4 linked regions of the Nothobranchius furzeri genome follow. The protein of the gene in region 1 purifies or fractionates together with the protein of each later gene. This does not show direct contact. Links are inferred from orthologs where the notes say so. Each region holds a gene or a part of one and is shown on either strand. Other genes may lie near its edges. The genes, in order: plekhm1, vps39, vps33a and vps41.

Evidence for each region.
Region 2: the proteins of plekhm1 (region 1) and vps39 purify together in Homo sapiens (co-immunoprecipitation; 3 studies listed by BioGRID and IntAct, with this or other methods). This does not show direct contact. The link is inferred for Nothobranchius furzeri from reciprocal best matches to the Homo sapiens genes PLEKHM1 and VPS39.
Region 3: the proteins of plekhm1 (region 1) and vps33a purify together in Homo sapiens (affinity purification with western blotting; 3 studies listed by BioGRID and IntAct, with this or other methods). This does not show direct contact. The link is inferred for Nothobranchius furzeri from reciprocal best matches to the Homo sapiens genes PLEKHM1 and VPS33A.
Region 4: the proteins of plekhm1 (region 1) and vps41 purify together in Homo sapiens (affinity purification with western blotting; 4 studies listed by BioGRID and IntAct, with this or other methods). This does not show direct contact. The link is inferred for Nothobranchius furzeri from reciprocal best matches to the Homo sapiens genes PLEKHM1 and VPS41.

What each region holds. Positions count from the first base shown.
Region 1 is NC_091756.1:48,095,472-48,099,074, forward strand, and holds the end of plekhm1 (pleckstrin homology domain-containing family M member 1), read left to right. Parts: intron 1-765; coding exon 766-959; intron 960-1,097; coding exon 1,098-1,161; intron 1,162-1,251; coding exon 1,252-1,409; intron 1,410-1,910; coding exon 1,911-2,019; 3' UTR 2,020-2,478; downstream 2,479-3,603. UniProt on the Homo sapiens protein: Acts as a multivalent adapter protein that regulates Rab7-dependent and HOPS complex-dependent fusion events in the endolysosomal system and couples autophagic and the endocytic trafficking pathways.
Region 2 is NC_091758.1:17,006,038-17,010,342, reverse strand, and holds part of vps39 (vam6/Vps39-like protein), read left to right. Parts: intron 1-347; coding exon 348-434; intron 435-513; coding exon 514-587; intron 588-704; coding exon 705-921; intron 922-1,523; coding exon 1,524-1,652; intron 1,653-2,114; coding exon 2,115-2,217; intron 2,218-2,464; coding exon 2,465-2,510; intron 2,511-2,714; coding exon 2,715-2,864; intron 2,865-3,237; coding exon 3,238-3,372; intron 3,373-3,622; coding exon 3,623-3,714; intron 3,715-3,805; coding exon 3,806-3,887; 3' UTR 3,888-4,305. UniProt on the Homo sapiens protein: Regulator of TGF-beta/activin signaling, inhibiting SMAD3- and activating SMAD2-dependent transcription.
Region 3 is NC_091757.1:37,278,548-37,283,626, forward strand, and holds the start of vps33a (vacuolar protein sorting-associated protein 33A), read right to left. Parts: upstream 3,079-5,079; 5' UTR 3,029-3,078; coding exon 2,927-3,028; intron 2,679-2,926; coding exon 2,613-2,678; intron 2,508-2,612; coding exon 2,380-2,507; intron 2,284-2,379; coding exon 2,097-2,283; intron 1,967-2,096; coding exon 1,850-1,966; intron 1,732-1,849; coding exon 1,557-1,731; intron 1,393-1,556; coding exon 1,199-1,392; intron 1-1,198.
Region 4 is NC_091747.1:46,098,314-46,102,113, forward strand, and holds the end of vps41 (vacuolar protein sorting-associated protein 41 homolog), read left to right. Parts: intron 1-286; coding exon 287-414; intron 415-487; coding exon 488-632; intron 633-707; coding exon 708-749; intron 750-824; coding exon 825-875; intron 876-958; coding exon 959-1,096; intron 1,097-1,181; coding exon 1,182-1,236; intron 1,237-1,316; coding exon 1,317-1,457; intron 1,458-1,526; coding exon 1,527-1,663; intron 1,664-1,913; coding exon 1,914-2,013; intron 2,014-2,095; coding exon 2,096-2,140; intron 2,141-2,229; coding exon 2,230-2,309; intron 2,310-2,408; coding exon 2,409-2,489; 3' UTR 2,490-2,707; downstream 2,708-3,800. UniProt on the Homo sapiens protein: Plays a role in vesicle-mediated protein trafficking to lysosomal compartments including the endocytic membrane transport and autophagic pathways. Acts as a component of the HOPS endosomal tethering complex.

The sequences.
Region 1 (3,603 bases):
ATTGGTTACTATTGGCTTACCATATAGCACCAGAAGACCCAAGTCAGGGGACACTGGTATGACTGCTATGACCAGGGCCCACTGGTTATAGCACTATCAAAGACAAACCTTTCTTTGTTTTAAACTTAAAAACCATCAAAGGTTTTAAACAGTATTTTAATGTTTTGGTCACCCTTTTATTTCAGGGTTCATCTGTGTATATTCTTCATAACAGTGAAATCTTTCTTAAAATGGACCCTAAAACCTACAAACATTAAGTGGCAAGGAGGAAAAACAAGGGCCCCGGGCGTGATTCGATTCCCGGACTCCGGGGTGAGAGTCGCATGTGCTAACCTGTCAGCCAAGTGGACATCCCCATGATCAAGTAGCTAGGGCGCATGATCTAGCTGATCCAACATAATCAATTGGGATGCGGTGACTAGACACTCACCCTGTCACATTAAAAAGGCCAAGGACCATGAACTGAGCCCTGTGGAACCCCTCGTGATGAAAAAAACCCAAAAAGGAATAGAAGTTGTTTAAACTGACACAGAAAGGTGTCTGCTTTTATGACATTCCAGTTAAAACAGAGCTCTAATGGGATTTTAAATGATTATGGTCCACTCTGTCAAAGGCAGCAGTCAAATCTAAAAGTATCTGGAGTCTGTAGTAAGGAGAATTTCATTAAAACACCCAACAAAGCAGAGTTCTATGAACAGACTTAAATCATAACTGAAAAACCAAAATCATCATCTAACAAACCTGAGTGTTTGTGTTTCTGTCTAGGTGTCAAAGAGAGCTCTTTGTCTGTTGGCTCAAGTAGAACAGGAACCTCTGCTTAACCTGGAGCAGCTGAACCCTGAGCTGGTGACACACTCGGAGTCCATGACTCAGGCCCACACTCTGAGAGAGAAGCTGCGTCTCCTGGGCGACTACCTGCTCTCCTGCCGCAGCGGAGCCTGCAAGAAACTCCAAGCAAGGTGTGTTTGTTGTTCGAATGGGGTATCTGCGGAGATTTCTCCACTTAACTGCACTGTGCATCACGAAAGAGGTCAGGAGCCCCATGATAATTAGCTGCTTTCTGTTTTGATGTCATGGTTTTTTCCACATCTTTCCAGAATGGGCCAGCGAACATATCTGCTAGAGTCGAGCCATCTTTACAGCGTCATGGATCTAAGACAGGTACTTTTCTGACTCTCTGATGTAGCAACAACCAGCTGCTGTACCATAGAAAAGAAATCTGAATTTTTTTTCATTTTGTGTGTTTTATAGATAGCAGAGAGCCAATATGCAATCTTCCTTGACCCACTGGTGCAGCACGCCTCTAATCACGTGCTGAATTGTGACTTGTGCACTCAGCGTGGCTACATCTGCCAGATATGTCACTCCGAAGATATCATCTTTCCCTTTCAGTTCGAAAGCATTATCAGGTATAATCTCATAATCCCATTTTTTGGTGCCTTATTTCCTTTTGTTTTGGTTATATTTTTTAAGATTGTCACTTTGTTATGTCTGTTTAAATAGTTCCTTTGTAGCAGGAAGTAAATCAAGTACCCAGTAAAAAACTGGCACGTTAACTTTGCTGCTGTTGTAGTTAGTTTGCTCATTTCACAAATAAACAAATAAGTAAGTAAATGGGATTAATAACAATTTATTTATACACATGGCTGATTAAATTTGGAGCAAACACACACATTTTTGTAACATTAAAAAAATACTTACTTTGGGAAATAGAGTTTTTTATTTCTCTAGTTTATGTTTGGTGTCTGGATTATCTCACTGTATATGAAGTGACTTGGACAAAACGAAAGGTTTACAAAAATATTTTAAATCTGGTCTAGCATTTGTAAGAGAAGTTGTTGTTTCTACTGGTAAAATGGATAAAAAGTCCTCTTAATCTGTTTTTTATTTCCGTCCTTGTTTCTGAGCAGGTGCACAGCCTGTAAAGCCGTATTCCACCGGTCCTGCAAGTCCACCACTGATTCTTGTCCACGCTGTCAAAGAATGAAGAAGTACCTGGAGAGGAATCTGCAAGAATGAGAACTGAAGCTGGCTGCAAAACTCCACCTCTTTCAGGATGTTTGACATCTGTTAGAGGAAAGGATTCACAAGACGTAACCAATTATGCAATTATGAGAGCGATCAGCGTGAGCAAACCTAAAAAACGAATAGAAGGGAGCCTCAGTGCCACAGTAGCTAGACCTTTGCACTGATTCGAAGGTGCACACACTTGACACGATGCAGCCAAATGTTACTGCGTGGAGATTTCATTACCTCTACAAATATCAAGCCACGGCATCAAAACAAAGACAGGACAGTGGGCGATTGTAAACAACACACGTTTACATTGTTGTTCATTATTTAGTGTCTGATTCTCCTCGGTCATGTCTACCATGCATGCTTCTTATTCTGTATTTACCTTAATGTCAAGGAACTTGTAAATAATAGAAAAAGCTCTTTATCAAATTCACTGATTTTGATTGTGCCTTTTTAAAACTTGTCCCATGATTTATTCTCACAGTTTAAAAAAAACTCACGACAAATCTGTTTGTTTTATTAACCAATAAAATAAACGACACAGAAGCGTTAAATTTTTAGGTTTTGTATAAATATGAGTGCTGCAAAATTTCTATCTGCTGCGTGTACGGAAGGACGCGCGTTCAAAGAAAAGAGGTTTGCAAATTAAGATTCGGGTTAGATAATTTTGTTGGATCTAAGGTGAAAATAGATGATGTGTATTTGCACTATACAGATAAATGGCTCAATTGTAGCTTTACTATTTCCCAAGAAAACTAATGATTTATGAAAACTTGCTTTTTATTCCTCTTTTTTTTGTTTATCTTTTTTTGTTTTTATCAATAATTGTTTGGTTATCATTAATTATTTGTGGAAACTGTCAACAATAAAAGCATTACATGTTTAATAATTTCATTTTGATCTATGCACAGCATATGGCATTTAGAAGGCACATTCTGCAGTACTGTTATTCTTGATGTGTACTCGTTTTATCTTAAAGGGTCAAATTGAAATAAATATTGGAGTGTTGAATTTGGTTCTGTTTTTATTTAAGGAATAAATCTGGCCAGTTGTGTTTTGGACACTTGGGTGAAGATAGGAGTGGTGTGAGACGTGACGATAACCCTCAGATTCGCTGATGGACACCAGAGGTTAGGGAAGGCTTCAGGCTGAAGAAGGAGGCCTACAGGGCATTGTTGGTCTGTGGGTCTCCACCATCGGTCTCCACAAGGAGCTGACTAGTACTTGAGAGTCAGGTGATGTTGCTGAGATAACGTTTTAGGCATAGGAAGAGTTTGACTACTGCTCAGCTCTGAGGAGGTTCTGGCAAACTATCAGATGTCTCGGGGGTGGCAATACACGTTTAAAGTGGGATTTAGCTACTGGGGATGTGGTTGGGTTGTGGAAAGCATACAAGAAGCTCCTCAACTCCACTGACATATCCCAGAGTGGAACCAGAGACGGGAATCTAAGGATGGACCAGTCAATCTGAAGCAGAAGATGCTGAGTAATCAAACTACAGTGTGGCTGTGCTCTGTAGGGTTACTTCAATGATACTGATCTTGTTTGTATTTATTTATTTGGCAGTGACTTCTAATTTATAACCAA
Region 2 (4,305 bases), on another chromosome or scaffold:
CAGCTGCAGATCATTATTATTGATTGGAGCGTTTTAAACACCCCTCAGACATATTTATCCTGTTTGTTTAGATTATTATAGGAAAACATGTTTCTTCTCTTGAGGAGGAGTTATCATGAAACAGCTGTTTGGGACAAATCTCCTGGTTCTAGATCCAGCCTAAGTGTTCCTTTATGCAGAACTTCCATGAGCTTTCCTTCCTGCTGCTGATCCCTGTTAATCCGATCAGATCATCCTGCTGCTCCGATCCTCCTCCGTCCCCAGCTGCTGATTCAAACCAGCTGTTAATTAATTCTGCATCTGCTGCATTCAGTCGTGCAAGTTTTAATCCTCCTCTTGTGTCACAGCTCTGCAGGTTCTGCTGGACCAGTCCACCAAGGCCAACTCTCCTCTGAAGGGTCATGAGCGAACTGTTCAGTACCTGCAGAGGCTGGGTGAGCAGTCAGACACTCGTGGGAACTTTGATGAACTCAGGTGAACTCTTGACCTTCTAAACCTTTTTCACTCCAACAGGAGCGGAGAATCTGGGAATCATCTTTGAGTTTTCTCCCTGGGTCTTAAAGATGTGTCCTGAAGATGGCTTGAAGGTGGGAAAAGAAGTTGTGTGTGTGTGTGTGTGTGTGTGTGTGTGTGTGTGTGCGTGTGTGTGTGTGTGGTTTTTTTTTTTACTCCTAATATCCTAAAATTATTCATTTATTCTCTAGATCTTCACTGAAGATCTGACCGAGGTGGAGACTTTGCCCAGAGACAAGGTGCTGCAGTTCCTGAAGGAGGGCTTCGAGGAGCTGGCCATCCCGTATCTGGAGCACATCATCTACGTGTGGGATGAGAAGGGCCCAGAATTCCACAACGTGCTGATTCAGCTGTACCTGGGCAGGGTGCAGCGGCTCATGAAGCAGTACCTCAACTCTCTACCAGAAGGTGCGTGCCGCAGACACGTTCTCAGGTGGAAGCAGAAGCTCTTTGAATCCAGGTGATTGTTGTTTGTTTTTAAACTAACCTGGTGGATACGGAGATCACTGGTGAACCTGTTTCTGGGTAGACATGTTGTTAACGAGGGCTGCATGCTGGTTGAGCTGTAAAATGCTTCCGAGTAGAAGTTCCTCAAAATGGAATGCGGCCCTCATTAACATACCCTCAGCTTCACACATTTGGCTTTGGAAACTTTAGTGATTCTTTAGTTTGGAGGGAAATGGTGTTAAAATCCTCTTGACTTCATGCTGCGGATTATAATCCAGTGTTGCTGATCTGTACAGGTCTGTTTACCGTTCAAAATGTTTTAGTAAAATTCAGATGCTGATCGCTGATGTTGAAACGCCTCTACAAGACCAGTGGGTGGTAAACGCCCGATAATTCTCGTGGATTCGCCTTCAGGATGCTTTAAGTTCCTGTAAAGCTTCACTTTGCTGTCACTGAAAATCAGATGAATGATTCCTGAGGTTCTTTGTGTGTTGACGAGATGAAGAGTGTGTGACTAATAAATGACTTCAGCTGTAACTAACTGATACTTTCTGGTGTTTCAGGGGTTCCTGCTGTTCCTGCAGGTCAAGAGAATGGAGAACTGGGAGAGTTCAGAAACAAGCTGCTGTCGTTCCTGGATATCTCCTGCAGCTATGAACCTTCCAGACTCATCAGTGATTTTCCATTTGATGGTAGGAAGTGACTTTTTGTTTCAGGCGTTTGCTCGCTGTGAGCTCCAGAGAAAAGCTTCTGTCCTACAGCTGATCTCAGGGATGTAAACGGACTACAGGAGGACATGCATGAAGGTCTGGTGCAAGCCCTGGAGGCATGTGGACTCGAGAATGATGTCCTCCACAACATAAGTCAAACTCTAGGCATGTGGGACAAGTCTGACCCACATAACAGCTATCTGTGGGCCATGAAGTCTTCTATATTACAACCAGCCTGCAGTACTAAAACTACTAGTCCCAGAATGCACTGGGACACCAAGCCTAACGCCTCCCTGCTGCAGAAGAGTTTGAGCAGGAACCAGAACAATTAAGAGAAAAATAAAGTTGTTTTATAAAAACTGTTTGCAGCTGAGGTAGAGGAAATGACTGGAGGAGTAAGTTGTTTCTGTTTTCAGTTTACGGTGTTGACCTTTGACCTTCCAGGGTTGCTGGAGGAACGAGCTCTCCTTCTGGGTCGTATGGGTAAACACGAGCAGGCGCTCTTCATCTACGTCCACGTCCTGAAAGACACACACATGGCTGAGGAGTGAGTTCACCTGATGTCATCAAACACTTGCTGTCATGGAGATTTGTTACTGACGCGCGCGTGTGTGTGTGTGTGTGTGTGTGTGTGTGTGTGTGTGTGTGTGTGTGTGTGTGTGTGTGTGTGTGTGTGTGTGTGTGTGTGTGTGTGTGTGTGTGTGTGTGTGTGTGTGTGTGTGTGTGTGTGTGTGTGTGTGTGTGTGTGTGTGTGTGTGTGTGTGTGTGTGTGTGTGTGTGTGTGTGTGTTGCAGATACTGTCACCGACATTATAACAGCTCAGTTGAAGGAAGTAAGGATGTGAGTATTATTTTGTCTAAATATGTTTTATTGTTGTTTTTTAATTATTGTAAAACTGGGATTGATTAGAAATACTCTGTATTTGTTCAACTTGTTAATATTTTTCTGAGATCCTGCCTGGTTTTAGGTTGGATCCTTCTAGACGTTTCTGTGATTACATCCTTGACATTTTCTGTAAAATGATTGCTGGCATGTGCCCTCCAGGTGTACCTGTCACTCCTACGGATGTACCTGTCGCCTCCTGATGCCCACTGCCTGGGACCCATCAAGATGGAGCTCTCAGAGCCTCAGGCCAACCTTCAGGCCGCCCTGCAGGTTCTGGAGCTCCACCACAGCAAGCTCAACACCACCAAGGTCCATTTTAGTCTCACTTTCCTCAGACAGTCCTCTTCATTTGGACAAGTGTCCATGTATTAAAATCAGAACATCTTATTCTGCTCATCCAGCTACAACGCCTTTAATAAACTCAAGTCTCTCCTGCTGATGTTTTCTGTGAGGCTAAAGCGATGCTAATGCTAGCTCTGTTCTTCTGATCTTGCTTTTCCGTTTTTATAAACCACCAAATAGTTCCCGAGCGCATCCACTGCTGCGTGTAATTTCACCAGTGTGGGACTTTGTTGATTAGGAGACAATAAAACTTTAACTAGAGTTAAATCTGGAAGCCTGCAGCAGACCTCTTCCCCTCGGCTCACTGACCTGTCCGTATAAATGTATATGTTTGTTTCAGGCCATCAACCTGCTTCCAGCCAACACTCAGATCCAAGAGATCCGGGTCTTCCTGGAGAGCGTCCTGGAGCAGAAGGCTCAGAGGAAACGCTGCAACCAGGTTCTGAAGAGTCTGCTGCAGGCCGAGTTCCTAAGAGTGAGTCCTGGACCTCTCTAAAGAGATTCTTTATTTCAATATCTCATTAGAATCTGATGTTTTTTATTTAATAAGGGTTTATTTTTGCATCTTGAAGTTTTAAAAAGCCCCTTGTGGCCCGGAGCCACAGGTTCTAGGCACGTGGAATAATAAAAGAAGTTCTCCATAAATAACGTTCTCATGAAACAGATTTTTGGAGGTTGGAGGGCTTTTTGCTGCAGGGGTTTAAGATGCTTTGTTTTGTTTCCAGGTGCAGGAGGAACGGATCTTCCACCAGCAGGTTAAATGTGTCATTACAGAAGAAAAGACCTGCAGAGTCTGTAAGAAGAAAATAGGAAACAGGTAGGGGCATGTGAGGGAAACCATGTTTCTGCAGATGTTTTCAGACCAAGTGATTAATAATCTGATGTTATTATCTTATCCTCTGTTTCAGTGCGTTTGCTAGGTATCCCAACGGTGTGGTGGTTCATTATTTCTGCTGTAAAGACCGGAGCGTGTGTCCCACCGAGCAGTAGAACCCACTCCTCACTCGGACCGAGACTTTTCCTCTCTGGGCTACAGAGATAAAGATGAAGGACAGCGGCATCCAGAGCCGGACCGTGGATCCAGGCCTCCTTGTAGGAATTCTTAACCTGACATAACCGTTGTTCTTAGAGCGGAGGCTGAGGTTCTCGTTCTGTGCCCATGAGCAAACAGGAGGAATGTTCCGAAACGCTCAACAGGACAGGAATAAAGAGGTGAATTGTTACATTGGATGTGTGTTACTCTAACACAGACAGGATTAGCTGCCCCACAGGGGAAAGAGCTGGTCGCTACGGATGTTTGTTTGCTTGATCGCCCTCGCTGCCTCCCTCTCCTCCCTCCTGTAACACTCTGTAAACATCAGAACTCCCCAACGGACATGTTGGGTCAAAGGTCACTCATGGCACCCCT
Region 3 (5,079 bases), on another chromosome or scaffold:
GATAAATGGATAGACTGATAGACTGGCTAACGACTAGTCTGTGCTGGGCCCGTTAAAAACTGTTTCTGATGTCTTAAAATATCTCAACACATTTGCAGTGGTCTCTAGCATAAACGAGTGCTTTGTGAGTCAATCTCTGTGGGGGAAAAGCTCTGGAGCTCCTGTTTCAGGAAGTAGAAGTGAGCCAAAGCAGAGGAGAGCAGAAGACGGCAGGATTTGGAGTCTTATTTCCTTATATTCAAACATCTCGCCTCTGATTGGCTAACAGCTACCACTGACTCCATTTGCATTGCTCCACAAACAACACAAGCCTGAAGGAGTTCTGCTATGATGCGGTGCTGTAAATGCTAACGGTTGGCTTCTACTAGCCGAGACGTGCTCTGCTCTCTCCTGGATGCTATACCAATAACAGCCTTCCCCATCGTGAGCCAAGATGGGTGTGTCCATGAATGCTAATTTGACAATATGATGTGGAATTGTCAGGCTTTTCTAATCCAAGCGTTTCCCTATTTTTATCAGCTGCTAATGCAGGAAATAGGGGTGGTAGACTGTTTTCAGGTTTAGCCAGCATGTTAAACTCAGATTAACCGATCATATTTCAAAAATAACCAGTAGAAAGGGAACTCAGAGATGAGTCAGGGGTTAGGGGAAGGGGTTGGACAAATTCCAGTTAGTTTATATTTGGCTAAAGTTTTAAATGTTAGCTGTTAGCTTGTTCGTCTGTTCAGAACTAATCTCTGTTTCTCCAAACGGAGACCATTCAAATAGATAATGAAGTTATATAGCAGATTAAAATTTTTTTCAGGCCATGTAAAAATGCAAATGCTCAATTTAAAATTAAACAAAGGCATAGGTAGGTTTTCTGATTTGTTAAAAAAAACCTTTGATGACAATTTTGAACGTCTTCCTTAAAACACTTGTGAACATAAATCAATAAAAGCCTACAGCAGACAATTAGACTTGAAGGAGTAGGGCTGCATTCCATTAGGAAGATCTGCTCATTAGTGTTTTACAGAAAACCCAGCATGCAGAGCTACAGAAGTGGAAAGCAGCCATAATTGAAAACATGTGTTTTTTCCCCTTTTCTTTCAAAATAAAATAAGACAGTTATGTTATCTGGTAGGAATTAACACTAAGAGGTGCAAAATCTAAAAAAAACAAAAAAATTAACAAAAAACAAAAACAAAGGAAAACCAACCTCAAACGCTGCAGAAATGATTTTAGCCTTTTTGCTGAGTGCAGCACCAACAGCATTGAAATTTTTGTCCCGGATTTCTGCATACAGCTCTTCTGCTGAGTTGAGCTGTAACTTCTTGGGCTCTGTGGGTAAATCTTTGCTAGCTTCTCCTTGCTTCTTCTGTGCAAACTTCTCAGGAGGAAGCTTGACATATCCTGTCAGACGGCAAAGAGAAAAAAAAGGAAGAACTGTGCCTTTAGCAAAAAATAATTAAGTAGACTAAAATATATCATTGAAATAGAAAATATATTAAACATTTTTATGTTTTTATCTCACACAAAAATAGAACGATTCCAAACGTATGATGGTGCATTCTGACCGTTAGTTATTCCATAGATTTCATCAATGAGGCCTTCGTAAGTGAGCTGTGTAGCTAGAGGTGTGAGCAGGTCAATGTTGCGGTCCAGGAGGAGAAGAGTGTCAAACACCGGCAGAATCTGATTCTGAGTGCCAGCAAACTCCCTCTTCATCCGCAACATCATGTTGGCAACATGCTATAAAACAGAGAATATCTGTCAGGAAAAAGGTCTTTAATCTGCTCATTATTAATATTAACATTGTGTGTGTAAACAGTTTTTTCCAGTTACTGCACAGATCATTGGGTTTACTCACCCGTGCACAGTCTCCCTTCCCAAAAATCTGTGGAATGGTGCCGTAAAGCGCCTGCAGGGTCATGAGACCTTTGGCTGTGTGGTACAGGCTCGTCAGGTCATTTTCCAGGTAGCACTCCTGAATGAGATGAAAGCAAGTACAAATATGAAATGGTATGCAAAGATATACTCAAACACATAAAATAGAGCAGGAGGTTCTGATGTTGTGACTAAATAACACTCCATATTTGTAATGGGAAAAAACTCACCCTGAAAGCACTTTCATACTCCATAGAGAGCAGGTCTCCATCATAAGGAATCAGATCCAGGATGTACTCATCAATGTTGGTGAAAGAGGCCAGCACGCCCTGCTCTTTCAGCCGCTGCTCACACAGCATGCTCCGCCGAGGCACAAACAAAATGTGGAAGTCTCGTGATGAATGCAGCTTGCCTTCACTGAAAGGTGCACGATCCAAGATGCAAATGTTATACTTGTAAGGATTTCTTTAAGGGAAGATGTATAAACTGGTTGCTTATAACAGTGAGGGGCACCTGAATATATTGTCAGCAATGATGTCCATAAGCTCCAGCCTGGGACGAACAAAGAAGATGATGTTTTTGACATCAGCAGAGGGGAGTCTGCCACTCTTGAGGGTAAACATTTTTTCCACCTCATGTTCCTGAAAAACACACAAAAAAATGAGCAATAGAAGTGAAGGCTCAGGCTGTCAGATCTACTTACATTGTGTTTTATTTTAATAATCTGTAAAGGGTTAGGCACTTACCTTCAGCAGAGAATACTGAGCTATTAGTCCAAAAGGTCCTGTCAGATACTCATCCCAAACTATGGCCTAAAGAGCAACAACACATCATGTATCCATGAAAAACATTTTATTTATGGAAACAAGTTTTAAATCAAACTTAAGCTCACACGCGCATTTGCCCGTGGTCGCGTTTCACGTTGGTTTAAACCATAGACTGTACTGTAAACGCGACACAATCCGTCTAATTTGTCAGGATCATGAATACATTTTTGTACAAATAAGAAAAGACTATTTCCTTTTGATATTTTCCAGCGTCTGTAAGTGACTTTATTTACCTTACTTCCCGCGCATTTGTCCAAAAACTCTCGAAGTTCTTTTCGTGCCGCTTCTCTTAAAATGTTTAAATTCACTCTGCCGTAGGACAGATGAGCAGCCATTTTTTTCTCACAACACAACACAAAAATCAGGTGACTTCGGCAGGAAGTCAAAGTCACATGACCAAATGCGTCACAGTACTGACAAGACATTTAGGAAATTAAAATAAAATAAAAATTCAAGTTTAATTCAGCTTCATGTTAGTAGACTTTAGTTATATTACGTAGGTTAAAAAATTATATTTTAGGTCTAGAATAATTTTCTGGTGTCCCGGAAGTAAAGGAGGATTAGATAAAATCAACTCCGTACTGTTTAAAAGAGCTTTGCCTCAGTGTCACATATTAAATTTCTTTGTATGTCAACCACATGTAGACGATAATGCACCGAATGAAGTTGCTTTTGTCTCGGGTTTACAACCAAGGAAGTATGAGGAGTGAAACGTCTTGGTATCATTTCCTTGAGTGTAAAATTCAGAGTGACCGTTAGATGACGCAATTTTCCTGCGAAACAAACGCGCGTCTGCGGTCAAAACAAAGCACTAAACGTCTTTATTTTAGGGACACTTATCTTTGAATTTTAGGGTCCGTTTTTGGACATATGATTGTTGTAGCCAAATCAACACGAGACTCAAACTGTATTAAGACAAAAATGATCAAATTTTTAAAGTAAAACATTTGTTAGCGGGCAAAGTGTGTAATCCAAATTAAGTGGAATAAACCCCCCACAAATAATTGATTTCTAACGGAATTACAATACAACTTAAACACTACTGTACAGTTTATTTATTACTGTATGTTTATACATGTATAAACACAGAAAAGCGTTAAAAGGCGCACCACTGCAACTGCGTAATCAAAATGTCAGTGATTTCTCAACTGGAGTGCCTGCATGTTGAGATAAATTTAGACACTTATAAAGAAAACTGGATCAGGTGGTGACTGCCCACTTATGAGCATCATTGTGTTATCACTTCAGATCCAGGGGTTTCCTTCCCACGGTACCAAGGGCTTTCCAACCATCCTCCACGCATAGAAGACCGTTTCCCACGCATCGGGGTGATCTGCAACAGACAACTCCTCCAGCCAAATAAATAAATAAAATAAAATAAATAAATAAAGCACGGTTTTGGTGACAGGCACCATGCGCAATGACTAACTCTATGATCGGATCCAGGCTCTGCACAGAAATCTAGTCCGCTCCGTTCCCCGACAAGAGGAGAGGAGGCAGGGCTGGATTCTCAGGTAGGCATCACCATCTCTCTGCAAGGTTTTCTAAACATTGCATCTTCACCATGAGCATTGTTTTCATATTCTAATTTTGCGTTATGTCAGGTGATACACAGAAATGTCTCAAGTTGAATGAATGCAGCGCTTCATTCAGAAGAGAGGGAGAGTGAGTCATCTGTGTTAACACGGAGCATATTTCCTACCCTGTGTTAATTTGATGGAACAAAATTCCTTGTCTTCACGAGCCAGTTAAACTGATTGATCAGACGGAATAAAAGTGTATGCAGATCACTCTGTATGCATGCAGCTGATGTCAGAAATGTAAATGAATATTCGATTGAAATTCTATTTTTAAGATGTCTCTTTGTAAGTGAAGTGGTAATATGCACTGACTACCTATTTGTGTGCTGAGGTGACGTGTCATGGTTAAGAACTGAGTTTATTCATGGTGGCAGATTAAAATAATCCCAGGTGTAAGAGGTTACCTTTTCTTGCCCTCAGAACCAGAACCTGGCCTACAACAGCTCTCCTTCCTTGTTGCAGATCTGACATAAGTAAGCCATCCTTGTCAGTTATCTTTGAGAGTGTGTTGTTGCAGTCACTGGGCGTTGCTGCAGGATTTGTGTGTGTGTGTGTGTGTGTGTGTGTGTGTGTGTGTGTGTGTGTGTGTGTGTGTGTGTGTGTGTGTGTGTGTGTGTGTGTGTGTGTGTGTGTGAATACCGGGGCTTGATTTGCCTGGAGGATTCAAGGCACTAGTGAAATCTCCAAATCCAGCTGTGGGCAGAGTAACTCCAGCTGTGCCTCTTGAACAGGTGATTCACCAGTTCACTCGCTGGGATGTTATCGAGTGTCCTGCACCCATACATTTGGTTTTTGCACTTTGGGGG
Region 4 (3,800 bases), on another chromosome or scaffold:
CTGAGGCAAGATGTCCAAATAACAGAAAATAAGACTTCAAAACCCGCCGTTTGTAGCTCAGCTGTGATGTGGGTCACGTTTAGTTCCTAGAAATGGTGCAGCGGTATTATTCCTCCACCTGCTGGAGAATTCTAAAGATGTAAGAGAAGTTTTCTGGTTGGGAGACAAAATGAAATGGAAAAACGATTAGATCTAGATGGCTGAAAACCAGCTACTAACGTGTGTACCTACTATAGAAATGCACTCATTGCTCTTTAATCTTATTCCTTTTCTTATTTTCCTGAAGGGCTTTGCCACGCTGATCCGGGAGTGGCCTGGAGAACTTTACAACAACATGGCCATCGTTCAGGCCGTCACTGACCACCTGAAGAAGGATCCGACCAACAGCACGCTGCTCACCACGCTGGCTGAGCTGTGAGTCGCCTCAGCGCTCGCTTTCATCTAAGCTTCTTGTTAAGTTGCTGAACAGGACTTGATGCTTTCTCAGGTACACGTACGACCAGCGCTACGACAGAGCTTTAGAGATCTACCTGAGACTGAGACACAAAGATGTCTACCAGCTGATCCACAAGCACAACCTGTTCTCCTCCATAGAGGACAAGATCGTCCTCCTGATGGACTTTGATAAGGAGGTAACAAACCAACCTATTTATTATTTAGTCCATCTAAAGACCATTTATGTAATTAAATGTGTACGTTTTCATTAGAAAGCTGTTGACATGCTTCTCGACAATGAAGACAAGATTTCTGTGAGTAAATTTGACAGTTTTGAATGTCCTGGTAAGAACTTTGCTGCTAGCTGATGTCCATGGCTCTCCCGACAGATGGACAGGGTGGTGGAGGAGCTACATGGTCGACCTGAGTTGCTGCATGTGGTGAGTTTTCTGTAACTTGGATGTTTTAGGGGTTCATTTGAATTCATTGGTGCAGCGTGATGGCTAAGCCGTTTCTCTCCTAGTATCTCCATAAACTGTTCAAGAGGGACCACCACAAAGGACAGAAGTACCATGAGAAGCAGATCGGCCTGTACGCCGAATACGACCGGCCAAACCTTCTGCCTTTTCTGAGAGACAGCACTCACTGCCCTCTTGAAAAGGTACTGTGTGTTCCTGCCACCAGAATTACAAACAAATTAAGCTTCTGTCATTTCTTCTTACTTGAACTTTGTCGTTTTCATCCAGGCTCTTGAGATTTGTCAGCAGAGGAACTTTGTGGAAGAGACGGTCTTCCTGCTAAGTAAACATTTAGAAACAAACGCATCTGTTAAGGGAAACGTGAGAAACAAATGCAATTTTTTTTTCTCGTTCGTCTTTCAGGCAGGATGGGAAACTGTAGACGAGCCCTGCAGATGATCATGGAGGAGCTGGAGGACGTGGACAAAGCCATCGAGTTCGCTAAAGAGCAGGATGACGCAGAGCTGTGGGAGGACCTCATCTCGTACTCGATCGACAAGCCGCGTAAGACGTCACTTGACTCTGAACTTTTATCTCATTGTCTTTAACTCACTCCACCCTCACTAAACCCAGCGTTCATCACGGGCCTCCTGAATAATATCGGCACGCATGTTGATCCGATTCTGCTCATCTATCGGATCAAGGAGGGCATGGAGATCCCGAATCTCAGGGACTCGCTGGTGAAAATCCTCCATGACTACAACCTGCAGGTCAGGTGGCTTCTCTCAAAGAAAAACTCTATTTATTTAAATGTCTGCAGGTTGCAGACTGATTCTTTGGTGGCTTAAAGATTACATGACACACCAGGAGCTTCCTTCATGTAAAAACTTGTTATTAATCCATTAAGTTCTGCTTTTTGAAGAGTTATAACAGGTTTAACAGGTAATTTAATTGGTTTATATGGCATGAAATCTTCTGACTCACTTGCTTAATTACGCGCTTTTATTTCTCGACTTGTAGATTCTTTTAAGGGAAGGGTGTAAGAAGATCCTGGTGGCCGACTCCCTCTCCTTGCTCCAGAAGATGCATCGAACCCAGATGAGAGGAGTCCGGGTCGATGGTGGGAGCAGATTCTATTGCTAGTTTGTGTTGAACCAGTGCAGATGAACCCCTAAATGTGTTGATTCTGTTCATTCTTTCAGAGGGGAACATTTGTGAGTCGTGTCATGGTACTATATTACCATCAGGTGGGTTGATAATGTCATTGATCCCTGTGTTTTTTTTTTGTTTTTTTTTTTATGTTTACTGTATTAACAGCTTCATGTGTGTGTTTCAGACATGGCCCAGCCTTTCAGTGTGGTGGTGTTTCACTGCAGACACATGTTTCACAAGGAGTGTTTGCCGTCTTCAGGAATAGTAAGTCTGCATTCAAACACCTCTTTCCCAACTCTGGTGTTATTTTATCAGAAAACCTCAGGAACATCCTCCACTTTGTTCCCATTTTTACTTTTCCAGATTCCTGGAGTGCAGTTCTGTAACATTTGCAGTGCGAAGAGGCGAGGACCTGGAAGTGGAATACTCGAAATGAAAAAGTGACACTTTAATGCCCTCATGTTGTTGTTATTGATGCTTTTTGTCTCCTTTTTTCCCTCGTCGGTACGCTGATGAACAGGAATCTTTTTTCCTCAGTTGATGAACTGTACTCTCACCAAAATACAGAACTGTTACCCTTTATTTGTTTGCTAACTGTAAAGTGCCGTGTTTTGTCCAGATCACCTTGAATGTGATGAAGAATAAAATCACATAAACTCTGACTGTGTTGTTGATGCTTTATGTCATCCAAAATGCTTCTTAGGTTGAGAGTATCATAAATCATCAAAATGAGTTGCTGAGTGCATCACGGGAGTTTGATGCTCTCTACGGCCAATGCAAGAGCTACAGCTTCATTTTCTGTACAAATTTAAGTTCATTACTGGTTTGCGTCGATTCATCCAGGGTGTATCCTGTTTGTCTGGCATTCATGAACAAGATCTCATCTTGTAGTCGCAGAGATCTCATCTGTGCTTTATTGCACATCCTTATATAATTCAATTATTTGGGTGTCTAGTTGACAAGTGAGGACTGGATGGAGCAAAAGATGGGCCGGTGGATTGGGGCTTTGCAGTTGTAGCCGGTGCTTCATAACTTGTTCTTGTTGAAAGAATAAAAGGACGAAAATGCTCTTGATTTATTGGTTCATCTACATTCCCACCCTCACTGGTTTGGATAACCAAAAGTAAAAGATCCCAAATAAAAGCAGCTAAAATGAGCTTCTTTGGAGAAAAGATGAAGAGCTCCATCATCCAGGGGAGTTCCCATACATTTTTTGTCAGTATTTTAGGATTTATGGGTCTAAAGCAAGCCGTTTCAAAAAGTACCTGTCTGTAATGTCACAAATGGGAAAATTAGAATAGAACCACCTCACACATGTAAGCGAGAGCTGATGCTAGAGGAGCAGCTACTCTATTCCGAGCCCCTACCGAACATCGGAGCTTCTCAGCTTATAGCAGTCTGGGGAAGGAGAAGTGGCTGTGGTCAGCTCCTGCTTATTTTCTTAAAGTGACTGAGCACTAAAACGCCTAATTTTGTAAGGTACTGAAAATGTCAAAAATAAAATTGCTGAAATGACTGTGAGAGAAATTAAGTGCAAAGGACTTAATATGTTTTGTATCAATCATTGAACTATTATAACAAATAATCAAAATATGTCCTCTTTAATGATTATTTTAATAAATGTATCTTTTTTCTTATATATGTATTTTATTTGTGTAAAATTAATCATTGCTCTTATAGTTTTCCCTGTGTTTATGAAAATTAAGCAACCCCAATAGGCATTTTTTACTTGTTTTAAACAATAACATTTTTATA